3 linked regions of the Lepisosteus oculatus genome follow. The protein of the gene in region 1 interacts with the protein of each later gene in a biochemical or structural test. Links are inferred from orthologs where the notes say so. Each region holds a gene or a part of one and is shown in the gene's direction. Other genes may lie near its edges. The genes, in order: mafgb, nfe2 and nfe2l1b.

What was found.
Region 2: the proteins of mafgb (region 1) and nfe2 form a complex in vitro, tested with the Homo sapiens proteins (2 studies listed by BioGRID and IntAct, with this or other methods). The link is inferred for Lepisosteus oculatus from reciprocal best matches to the Homo sapiens genes MAFG and NFE2.
Region 3: the proteins of mafgb (region 1) and nfe2l1b form a complex in vitro, tested with the Homo sapiens proteins (2 studies listed by BioGRID and IntAct, with this or other methods). The link is inferred for Lepisosteus oculatus from reciprocal best matches to the Homo sapiens genes MAFG and NFE2L1.

The regions. Positions count from the first base shown.
Region 1 is NC_090704.1:40,951,523-40,955,456, reverse strand, and holds the start of mafgb (v-maf avian musculoaponeurotic fibrosarcoma oncogene homolog Gb), read left to right. Parts: upstream 1-711; 5' UTR 712-1,249; coding exon 1,250-1,426; intron 1,427-1,839; exon of another isoform or gene 1,840-1,937; intron 1,938-3,934. UniProt on the Homo sapiens protein: Since they lack a putative transactivation domain, the small Mafs behave as transcriptional repressors when they dimerize among themselves.
Region 2 is NC_090696.1:19,490,881-19,494,814, reverse strand, and holds the start of nfe2 (transcription factor NF-E2 45 kDa subunit), read left to right. Parts: upstream 1-1,099; 5' UTR 1,100-1,486; intron 1,487-3,934. UniProt on the Homo sapiens protein: Component of the NF-E2 complex essential for regulating erythroid and megakaryocytic maturation and differentiation. Binds to the hypersensitive site 2 (HS2) of the beta-globin control region (LCR).
Region 3 is NC_090723.1:8,971,735-8,975,668, forward strand, and holds the start of nfe2l1b (endoplasmic reticulum membrane sensor NFE2L1b), read left to right. Parts: upstream 1-1,158; 5' UTR 1,159-1,247; intron 1,248-1,330; exon of another isoform or gene 1,331-1,453; intron 1,454-1,666; exon of another isoform or gene 1,667-1,833; intron 1,834-1,839; exon of another isoform or gene 1,840-2,252; intron 2,253-3,184; exon of another isoform or gene 3,185-3,285; intron 3,286-3,934.

The DNA.
Region 1 (3,934 bases):
TTGTGTGTGGACCCAAAGAGAAATGTGTGTCGTAGTTCACTTTTTTAAAGACAGATATTATATCCTACGATAAATTTTCTAGATTGCCCGGATTTACGTGTCTCGAACCTATTAAAAGCAGAGAGGTCACGCAGACTTTAACATTAAACTGCCCTGCCTACGTGTACATTGTGCAAGTGATTTGCCAGTGTATGCGCAGCTCCGCAAAATGAAAACCACATGTGATAACAGACATGATTGTGAAATGTTTTTTTTAAGAAAACAAATTGTTGCGCTTGACAGTGGTCCAGAAATCACACACACACAAAAAAAGGTGGGAAGGGTAGGACATGCACGGCCTCCATTGAAAGATAAAAAGGGCAATTTGTTTTGATAGACTGACGAGAACATGCGCCGGCATTCCCGAACAGGGATCCGAGATCCCGGCGCCTCGGAACGGCAGCCTATTGTTCTGCGCTTGCCTCTTTAAGACATTCCTGGGAAGTGCTGTAATGTTTCTGCTTATGGTGCGCAGATCCCATCAAACCACAGAGCCGAAAAAGGAGCTCAGGTTCCGACAGTCCTCTTCGAAAATGCTTTGCAGGTGGGCTGTCCCGTTTCGAGCCCCCCTGTTCGGCAGAGCCGCGTTCACATCTGCCCCCGGCCAACCACTGGCTCGCTGGACACACTTCTGTTGCGTTTCCCACTGTTACACTTGCGAGAGAAGAGCCCCCCCCCACCAGCGGCGTTTAGTACCCCGCTAAAACTGGCGGAATGTTAAATATTTTGTTTTGCCATTTGCTGCGCATTTCTCTTCAGACTTTCCCTTGCGTACTGCTCTGAGGAATGCTTTACTCCGGAAAGTCACCACATCGCACGTACTGCGCAGTGTCTTGTAACGCACATCAGGATAACGGTCAGTTATAATCTGGGAACAATGTAACTTTTAAAAGATAAACTTTCTTGAGGCTACCCCACCTATACATATATATTTGCTTTTTCGACCTGTCTTACTATATGTAAAAAAAAAAGCGGCGCAGGGTGATTCCAAATTCGCCAAAACACACCAGCTTGTCTCGAAAGCCACAGCTGCTAGTTAGTCCGTTGTTTTGTTTTTGTTTTTGTTTTTTTGGAGGGGGGATACGGGTTTGGGGAGCCGGCTGTCCCTTTAAAGAGCGAGTTTCGGGAGGTGTGGAAGAATGTGCTTTTTGGAAAATATGTGGCCTCGGTCCCTTTAAGCCTTTTTGCCAGTTGCGTAGATCCTTCATGAATGAAACCACGTGACCAAACATCATATGACGTCTGGCTCCGGCACAAGAGAAAGGGATCAACAAGGAGAAGGCGAGGGAGTAAATTTTACAAATTACCCAGAAATAGAGGCGCCTCACTTCCAAATACTCCGATATCAGACCTCCGGCGGTGGGGAAGAGGGTCTCCCTTGAGTTTGGTGAGTCCGATGGCGGGTTTACTTCGATCGCGGACGGCACATTTGAAAGAGATGTGTTATTTTGCTGAGTGTGCACGCCTTTGCTTTGCCTGTAGATCTGTGGTGTGTGCATGTCGATGTGTGTGTGTGTGAGAGAGAGTGCATTAAAGGGCCAGACATGCTGATTCATCACGATTGGGTCATTAGGCATGCACGGCGAGTGCGGTCAGAACCGTGCAGGCACAGGGTTTTTAACAAAAGGATAAGGTGGTTGTAAAATCTCGGTTTTACCGGGGAGTCCCCTTGGTCTGGGACCTCGCTGGGCGAGAGCTGGCGCCGAGCCCCTGTCAGTCACACTGGCAGACAGCGGCGTGGAGCGTGTTGCCGAGAAATGTGTAATGCATCTGAGCTGGACAAACCTGCTGTTTCATCAGAACGGGGGCCGTGCTGAAAAACGGGCGAAAGCCGGGGCGACGGCGCTGTGGTAAGGCGGAGAGAGAGGTCAGGCTGGCCGGCTTTCTGGGAAGGTAAGGTGAGCTCAGCATCGGCTGCCGTAGCGTCGCCTGGTGCCGCTGGCCGCCGAGACGAGTCGGCTCGCAGCGCCAACTCGTTCTGCCCGTCTCGAAAAATGTGATTCTTGCGAGCAGAAAGCGCTCCTTCAGTTAAGGGGGGGAAAAAAATGTCTTCGCTACAGTAAAAGGTGTATCGCTTCATTGTATCGGGGTGATCAAGAACAAACGTTTCACTAACAAAGAAATTGTTGTAATCTTACACCGTGGATGAGAATTTGAGAGAACGGTGTAGGTCGGAGCCCGTGTTTCAAGTCGTCTTCTCACACCGTGTGACCGTTATCTTATTATTATTATTATTTTTTAAAACTATAAAAATACTAAAGGCTTGTTTTCGATTTCGAAATCGGCTCAGAAAGTACCGTATGTGCTGATTCATCACAACGTTGAATTTTGAGGCTGAGCAGGCGGCACTGGACAGGCACTGCTGACATGGACCTGCGGACAGAGGTCTGGGCTCGGCGATAAGGATCGGTGATTTTTATTTGCTGCCGGTTTAGGGAGATGTGCGACGATGCCACAGGGCCAGCAGACGGGTCCGAAAGGGGCCATGTTAATCCCGAAACCCGCAGGGCCGTCACGACCACGAAATGAACAATAAACTTCTTGGTGGTATTTGGATTTTTTTCCCCACTTCAGGTCGAACTGTTGTGGGGTTGTGCTGTAAATCACAAAAGGGCAATGCATGTATCTGTGTGGTGTTATGTAAAACACACACACACACTTTCCTTTTCTCCGTATGAGAATATTTCCTGCTTCTTATTTTGAAGTCACTCAGCGGTGAACCTTAATGAGAAGTGAAACAGGTTACGCTTGCTGTTAGTAGATCGGTGTGGTACGTCTCCTTTTTTTTTAGATGGCCAGCTTGTGACTCAGGTCAGAGAATCGGATGAATTTTGACTGATTTCCATCATGGCCGAAGTGTTCCTCGATTATTGTGCTGGATTGTGGTTTCTATGCCTTACCCCAACACCTGGGAGAATTGTTGAATAGCTGAGCATATCCAGTGGGAGGCATTTTTACCTGTCCCGTTATGACTGTCAATGTCAGAAAGCCTTGTCAGAAACACTAGATGTTTGACTAAAGTTCACAGTTTAGGATAACGCCTTTCTCTTTAAAGGTGGCACTCAAACTGTTTTTAACGGTTTTGATCTGTAAAGCTGTTGCGAAATGGATGTTGTGCTTTATATGAGAAAGGCTTTGCTAGTTATTTTCAGCAGGTGATAACAGTCAGAAGTGGGCGAATCACAATCGATTTCCCAGACAAATATTTTGAAGTATGGCTGAAGGATGAAATGTGCCTTTACTGTCACTGGATGCAATGCTGAATTTGCTGTGATCTGGTCATTCTTCGCTTTTTTCCCCCCCAATACGGGACGGCGGAGTAAATGAACACCTTTTTGTCTTTCCGCACAGAAAGTTTGAGATGTAAAAATCTGGGGAGTCTGGATTGCCAAGTGGCTAAAAGTCTGTGTTTAGTGGAGGCATAGGCTGATATTTATGACATCGAGCGTCTCACAATCTTATCTAGATGCAGTCAGAAGCTCCAGACACCCTCATACTAGAGGATTATACCAGACCTCTGTGGGAGTGTAGTGCTGTCTATTAAAGTCAATACTGGTGGTCTGTAATTACTGTTTTTGGCCTTGTTCTACTTCAAATCAGTGTGTTTACAAGCTGTCTCTAGGTCTGTCTTGGAACACCAGGGAACAATCACTCCAAAAATAGTCATTCCTTATGTGTGCCAGCTCGGCCAGTTTGAAGTAACTTCTGTGCCGTTGAGTTCACCTGCCCCTCCTCACCTTCCCCTTGTGAGCAAGACGAGCCGTACAGTCGTGTGAGGAAAAAGGGCCGTTTGTGGAAGGAATTAACAGGATTGCTGGGGGAAACGTTACGAAAGGGAAGGGCCTTCTGCCACAGCTCTGATACCTCCCACAGTGTGTAAATGACAGCCATCTCC
Region 2 (3,934 bases), on another chromosome or scaffold:
AAACGCACTCCGCTCCCCCTCCCCTCCCCCCCTGCACCCGTCCCCGGCCAGCCGGCCAGAGGAACAAAGCGGTCTTTCTTACCTGCTTGAGGTGTGCATTCCAACCCCGCTGGCAGAAGTCACAATCTGCTGCCCCCACCCCGCCCCGCCGCCACACACACGGCTCTCAACCCCCGCCGGCTGTCTTTAACTCTTTACCTGCCAGGTGGGGCGCTCTGACGGATTGGCCCTGCTCGTCAGTGCAGGCAGCCCAGCGCTCCCACCTGGGCCCAGACCTGGAGCCTGAACCCCCCTGCGGCCAGCAGGCCCGACGACAGAACTGCAGGCGGGCGGTTTCGGCCCGTCCAGCTCCCTTCATCGGGTTCAGCTGATCAGATGGCGTATCGCTGGAATGCGCGTGTATGTGTGCCTGCGTGTAGGCGTGTACACGTGTTTGCATGTTTGTGTGTGTGCATGTGTACGTACATGTGTGTGCTTGTGTATGTGCATGGGGGTGCATGGTGATGTGCGTGGGGGTGCACATGCGTGCGTCTGTGTCCTGGGTGAGGCCTGGCTTCGTCTGACTGCCAGACTGAGAATTCGGGGGGTCTGCGATAAGACAAGAGGGGAAGAGATAATAAAGAGGAGTTGAGATGAAAATGGGATGTTGTGTGTGTGTGTGTATTGGCAGGGTGGGGGGGGGGTCTCAGAAAGGCACCCCACTCGCCAAACCCCCTCAAAGGGCCACCCTCCACAAACCCCCCCCCCGCCCCGGATCTGGGATCTGGGACGCCCCGGTGCCGAGGGGCCGTCCTGTGGCCGGTGGAACATCTGCTCTGCAAAGGCCGAGCGGCTGAGTGGATTTCCCTGCAGTGGCTGCGCTCTCCTCACCACAGCAGGGGCGGGAGTGGAGGGGCCGGCCAGGCGAGGGGGTGGAGAGGTGGGATAAGGGAGGGGGTAGAGTTTGGGAAGGCTGGGCGGGGGGTGCTGATGGCTTTATTTCTCAGTTTGTGGTATTTCTCTCTTTCTCTGGAGATAAAGAGAAGAGCCGGGCTGGTTGGAGGGGAGGTTGGATGGGAGGGGTGTGTGTGTGGTGGGGGGGGGGGGCGGTGAGTTAGGAAATAAGAGAGAGAGGGTGGGTGTGTGTGTGTGAGCGAGCGCATGTGTATGTGTGTGTCAGTGTGTCTGTGCGCTGCAGGAAAGGTTGTTACATCGGAGACCCATCCCAGTTATGTAAGATCAGCCAGCGGGGACAGGCGGTGTGGCTTTCTGAGTTTGTCAAGCGGGGAGCGCGCACGCACTCACACACACGGGGGAGAGAGAGAGAGGAACCGGCGCGGCCGCCGGGGACATGTAACGGCCACCGCCAGGAGCCGGCCAGCCCACGGAGCCACAGGAGTCTCCCCCATCCCCTCTCTCCCAGCTCCCGGGACTATCACCCCCCGCCTGAAGGGTGTCATCCTTGGCCCACCTGTCCGAACCCCAGCCTCCCGGACATGCAGCTCAGGTAAGATCCGCGGCGCCGCGGCCGGCTGAGGCCCGACCTCCGCACCTGCCCGCCGTCCGTCCCGGCCGCGGTCCGAGGGACAGGACTGCTGACGGACCCTGCCTCTGCGAGCTGGGCAGAGGCCAGAGGGTCCAGAGCTCTGTGATACTGGCGCTCGTGTGTCCAGTGCAGGAGGGCCTGTGTACAGGATGGCCGCAGAACGAGATGTGGGTCCGCGGACATGCTGGGTGCAGAATGCAGAACTGTAGGAGAAAAGACGCAGAAAAACTTCAGTACTGAGGATCAGGATGATGGTGACGATGATGGAGCTGGCAATCTCAAAGCTCTGCTAAGGAATTATTGCAGTTTTGTGTAGCTTTCAGCGCCAGAACGGTTTTTCCCAGCAGTCCGGAAAAGAAAGGATACATTGTTTTTTAAAACTCAAAAATACATTAAAATGTCTTCAGATTTTTTTTTTTAACAAGGCGTCTAAGGTTGCTACCAAGATACAGCCTATTGTATTATTGTAAATGTTTCTTCCAAAAACTGCTCCAGATAATAACGCCGCTAAGTTTAGACTTACTAGTCTGCATCCTTTTTGGCAGAAGGCAAAAAACAATTCGTTTTCAGACTCGCGTAGAGAAGAAAAGGGATAAATGCCGGCACTCGAGTGGGGTCTGTGGGTTTTCAGGAGGCGCTGAGGCTGGCTGGTGGAGGCAGTAGTGGATTTTCATTGGCTGTTGGAGAAAAAGGTGTTAATGAAATTAGAACACTTGGCGTACCTGGACCTGCCTCTTGATTAAAAGGAATGTGTAGCTCCGTGTTTTGTAAAGGGCACCTGTTGCTGGGTCTCTGGGCTGACAGGACTCCCCCATGAGAGAGACAGCCCACCAGTTTCTCTGGCCTTTAACGTACTTAATGAGCTTGTAGAATACAGTGTTTTGAGGCTGATGACTCGGAGAGCACAGCCACTCTCTCTAACAGTGAGCCGCCTGTCTGGATATACATGGACTACTGCTGTGTAAGTAATGTATTTTTACACAGCCTTTCACAGCTGCAGTCTGCTGGATCGGGTCTCTGCTGAGTGTATTTTGTTCTGTCTTACTGATTGACTCTAAATCAGCCATAGTCACCAGTGCTACCCCTGTCTGTTTTATAGAATTATTCTTACAATTCAGGATATTGTCACAGGCGAATTCTGTGTGCAAACACAGTTTCACTCAATGTGTGAGCAAAAATATCTGACTCGCAGACACTAAAGAGGGTAGCAGAACTCACATGCCGGGATTCAGTCAAACTGACAAGATGTATAGTCGAAGAAACGCATGATCTATTGAGTGTATGGTGCAGAGTCAGACTAATTGCATCAAATTATCTAGAAAGAGAGCATATAACTTCACAGAGAGCAATCAAACTTAGGACCTAAAAAACTCTGTAACGGGGAATTCATGCATTATGCATGCATTGCAATATGAATCTACTGTAAATGATGGAATGAAAATCCACGGTGTCTCTCAGCTGAATCTTCTTTTAAAACGGGACAGGTGTGTTTGTACTTCCTAACAGGTGTTCTCACGCCTGTTGCTCTGCTGCCTTTAGGAAGATAGCCGCTCAGTTTTCCTCAAACCCTGCTGCAGGCTGTGTCTGCGAGCCCTGTGGTCTAATTTTTGTACCTTATTACATGAGGGGATGTTACCGTGTGACCTGTGGCGTTAACTGGCGTACAGCTGTAGATTATGAACGTACCCTGTTCATATTTCACAGTCCACTGAATGCGCTTTGTGATGAATCAATGCGTTGGCTAGATGAATTACTGTTGATATATATCTGAATATTCTGGTATACCCACCTATACAGGATGCTTATCAAAAACGTCAGCGGTAGATTTGTGTCATAATTGCGCACTCCTGGGGGGTTTTCCACTTGACTGTGTCACACGCTCTCCCGGGGCTCTGCCTCTAGACTGGGGAAGTCCGCCTTTCCTCCGGGGGCACGCCGGTCCCCTGGCTGAGCACGGGCTGGTGAGCACTGCGGCCGAGGCCGCCTCATCCGCCCCCCACATGGGGGCCAGCCAGGGCCGCAGTCCAGCCCTTCGGTACCGCGGCCCGTCTGACCCTGTCTGCACTTCCGAGGGCTCTTACACATTTTCAGCTCCTCGGCTGGAAAATAATCGGATTTTTTAAAATGGTGCCTCGGGCCTCGGTGCCGGTATCCGGTATAAAGAGCCCGGATGGGTCCAACCACGAAGAGAGCCGAAGTCGCGAGTACAAGTGTTGAGTCGGCCCGGTGACGTCCAGGTCGGACCCTTAGGTCACGTTCCGGCAATAAAACGGGCCGGATTAGCGCAGAGTGCCCTGCGCTGTTCCGAACATTCCTGCTCCGAACATTCCTGCGAACTGACAGTTGTAAGGCAGAAGAAGAGCAGATGTTCACTAGGGAGTGCGCCTTTCCCATTCGCTGGAGAAAATT
Region 3 (3,934 bases), on another chromosome or scaffold:
GAGCACCCAGAGATGCACACGAACACAGGGAGAGCATGCAAACTCCACTCAGACAGCTGCCCGGGCCTGGAACTGACACCAGGGCCCCAGCGCTGTGAGGCAGCAATGCTGACCCTTTCACAATATGATCATACACTAAATATGTTTGAAGTGATACTGTTGAAAAAGAAGATAGGTCTCACATTGAGAGTGTATCTCCCCTTGCCTGCCAACCAATATGAAACAGCATTCAGGTTCAGCATGTTTACCTAAAGGAAAATTAAAATGTGTTAGATAAGATAAGATAAGATCACTTTATTAGCCATATACAATTTCTTGCATTAGGAAGTCATCTTTTCACAGACCCCAGCTTGCTCTCCATGAGACACAGACAGGGAGAGAAGCTTGGGGTCAGAGGTCAGCAGGGTCAGCTATTTATACAGCACCCCTGGAGCAGTTGGGGTTAAGCCTCCTTTGTGCAAACATTAGGATACGTTTCCCATCTCCAAAGGGGACTCAGGCCAAATGACAAAAGGTGACATAGTAACTCATATTTTCCATGAGTATATGTTATCTTTTTTAAATTTTCTTCTTCAAAATTTATTTGATTATTCCAAGCAACGTCAAGAACATATTTACCCAGGAGAATAACAATGAAGTCACTGTTAGCTACAATTAACTAATAAACAAAATGACTGTTAGAGGCTGTAAATCTTTTTAATCCGCATTAAACAACGGATTTCTCCCTGTGAGGGCTGGCGTGCCTGTGGGTTTGCATTGTAACTCCGCTCTTAAGGAACTAAACCATCTGGCATAACTGGATCAGCTTCTCCCAGCTCTTCAAGTACAATTACTTCAAAGAGACCTGGAAAACCTGCGCATCCACCCATCCTCCAGAAACACGACCTGGACGACCCTGTCAACTTACAAATCACACAGCTACTCCAAGAGGCGGGACGAACACATTGGACTTCCGGTATTGCGTCATTCCCTGACGCACAATATGAATATTCAGCACGAGGCGGGGGCGGCAAACGTCATCTGCAGCGCGCCTGGAATATTCTACGCATGCGCCTTGGGAAAAACGTGCAGCTGTAGTAGCAGAACATTTTTTGCAAGTCACGATGGGCCTGAGTAGTAGACGGCGAGACAAATATCAACATTAGCCGACATTAAATAGGAAAGGAAATACGTCTACGAGCGGATAGCGAATTCAAGGACTCGGTTTTGTATCTTGCCAGAGCACGGACTGTCAAAATCAACACACTGTAAGTATCGGAGGTTTTGACGCAAAAGATTTACAATTCAGTTACCACTCCTAAATGGTGAAGGAAAAGCCTGTGTTAGTTACCGTGTTGGTGTTCAGGAAATTGTCAAGTGTTGGGTTCGCTTTTCTCATCTAAAGAAGGGTTTTAGACAAAATGCTTGAAGCCAAATGTATTGCTTTGTGTTTGTAACAGACAGCTAAAGAAAATAACTCACTCCTATTGCCTCCCTCTACTTCCCTCTCCCATAACCACAGCGGCCTGCCCCCATCCAATCTCCATTGGCCGGTCAGAGGGAGAGTCCGGCGCGTGGGCTTCTTTCTTGGATTTCAATTGGCTGTCTGGGGTGTCAGTCACCATGGCACCACTTGTTGCTAAGCGTTGTTGCCGAGGTAGCGATAGCGGAAGTCTGCCGGCTGGGCACTTCCTGGTTTGTGTTGGTGTTTGCGACGAGGGCGGCCACGCTCGTATTTTTGTCAGTTTCGAGTACGGGACGGCTGGTGGGGAGGGTTATTTAGGAGGAGGAGGGGGGCACAGGGAAGAAGGAAAGTAACGGAGCTGGTAACGTCACTTTGGGAGGGGAAGACATGTAAGAGAAACCTTATAAATTTTCGTTCTCGCATTTTTCACCTTCATTACAACCTCGGTAACTTTATGACACAAGCCAGACGGGACGGGACAGTTGCGGAATCAGCCGACTGGAGACGGGGTTTCGTTTTTTCGAAAGGCCAGAGAGACCTTTCGAAATAATATTACATTATTGGCCATTTTTTAAAGGTTGATCGACTAATATCTAGCTTTTCAGAAACTGTTATTGAACAGACATTTGAAATTGGGATCTACCTCGTTGAGCAAAAGCACTCCATCCCTCGGATCTTGTGACCGATATTGCTGGTTTCTTCGTTTTTCTGTTTTGGTGCAAGAAGAGCTTTGTATGGCCACTGCCTTTCCTGGGAAAGCAAAGAAGGATTTATTTCCAGTTGCAAAACTTAAAAAGACCTTAAGAAGGTATTCATGAGTCCGTGCGGATGAAGAGTGGTCAGCTGTCTTTGCTGTGGAGGAAGTCCAGTTATTGCTTTTTAATAATTTCCTTTCAGTTATTGTTAATAACATCCACGGATTGGGTTCGATTCTTGAACATTTCATCCCTCATGAGCAAGCGGGTGTCGATAAATGTTTTTTGTTTCCTTGTCAAAATATAAAAGCTAGATGACGCACTGGCAGTATTGATAGTCTTGCCCATTCGGTGCAGTGGCTTAACGGTGAATACATTTAGTAAAAGCTAATACCGATTTTAGCTGAAAATGTTAAATTGTGTAGTATGAGCCCCAGAAATGTTTGAATGTATGACTTAAATTCGTAGGCATATCTAGTGAATGATTGAAATTCACGGACATGGACATGAATTCTTAATATTACAAAATACATCTTGGTACAGTAGATGAGCACGTGTCTGTTATATACTAATCCGATTACGAAAGTTAACGAAATAGAAAGTAATCTACATTTCTAGCTCAGGCATTGGAGACGAGCTTGGTGAAGTGAAACTCTGGGCTTTTAACAAGTTCTAGAAGTTTTATCTGCGACCCGAGGCGACGCGAATCGTGTGAAGCGTCGGCTTGGTTCTGTCTGAGCGTGGAGCCGTCACGGGTGGGGTGCGGGGTAGTCAGGTGCTCCCAGAATAAGAGACCGATTTGAGATGTGACAGTGTGACAAACGTTTCATGTATCATGCTTGGCTTGCGAGAGTAAGTAGGACAACCCTGGCGTTGACAATCGGTTTATCGTGGTGTTTGCTCTTTAAATACTCGCGTGGTCTACAGTCAGCTGATCGCTAGTAAATATGCATCCCCCACCCAGGCCGTGTCACGTTAACAATCGTTTGTGTACCCCGCGGTCCCGACAGGTTGTGTAGGCTAAGTGCAGTTAGAGGGGGGCTGGGCTGGGTGCCGGCGGGAGAAGGCCGGCTATTTCCCGGGAAACGGGCGGATTACATCACCCCGCCAGTTCAACCGCCGCCGCGTCTCCAGCACTTTGACAAAGTAGGTCAGCGCACCGCTGCTCTGAGCCGGCGTGGGAATCGGACTCGAGAGGAAACTGTTGCCCTTTCGTTTAGAAGGACTATTCCTTTGCTCATGGAGGGAACTTCACAAACACGTGCCTTTGCATAGGTTTGCGAGTGAAAAGGGTGGGACATGAAAAGCGTTTCAGTCATTTCTTTTTAAAATTGCAACCCCTCAGTGGTAGTTGGGGCTGGGAGGAGGAGGGGGAGTTAGTTTCTAAGCGCAGTTGCGAAATGAAGACCTGACCCCGCGGACACTCGTGTTTTTGGCAGTGTAACCCGACGCCTCGCGGCCCGGTGTCCAGTGCAACGTGCCTGCCCGGGGGGCTGTTTTGTTGTCTAGTCCGCCGTTGCCCGTGGCAACAGGAGCCTCCTGTGGCCGAGCTGCTGTTGCACCTCAAATGAACGTTTAATTCTATCGATTAAAAAAAACAAAAAAAAAGAGCGGCTTGCGGGTTTGCTGGGTCTTGTTAAGGGGCTAATCTGCCTCACTGGGGAGCTCTTGACCTGCCCGCTGGGAGAAGACTCCAGATCCACGGCAGGGGTTCCCAAGCCTGTCCCTGTGTGACCCACACGCCTGTTGGGTTTTGTTCCAGCCAAGCCCTCGATTACACAATCCAGCCTCTCTC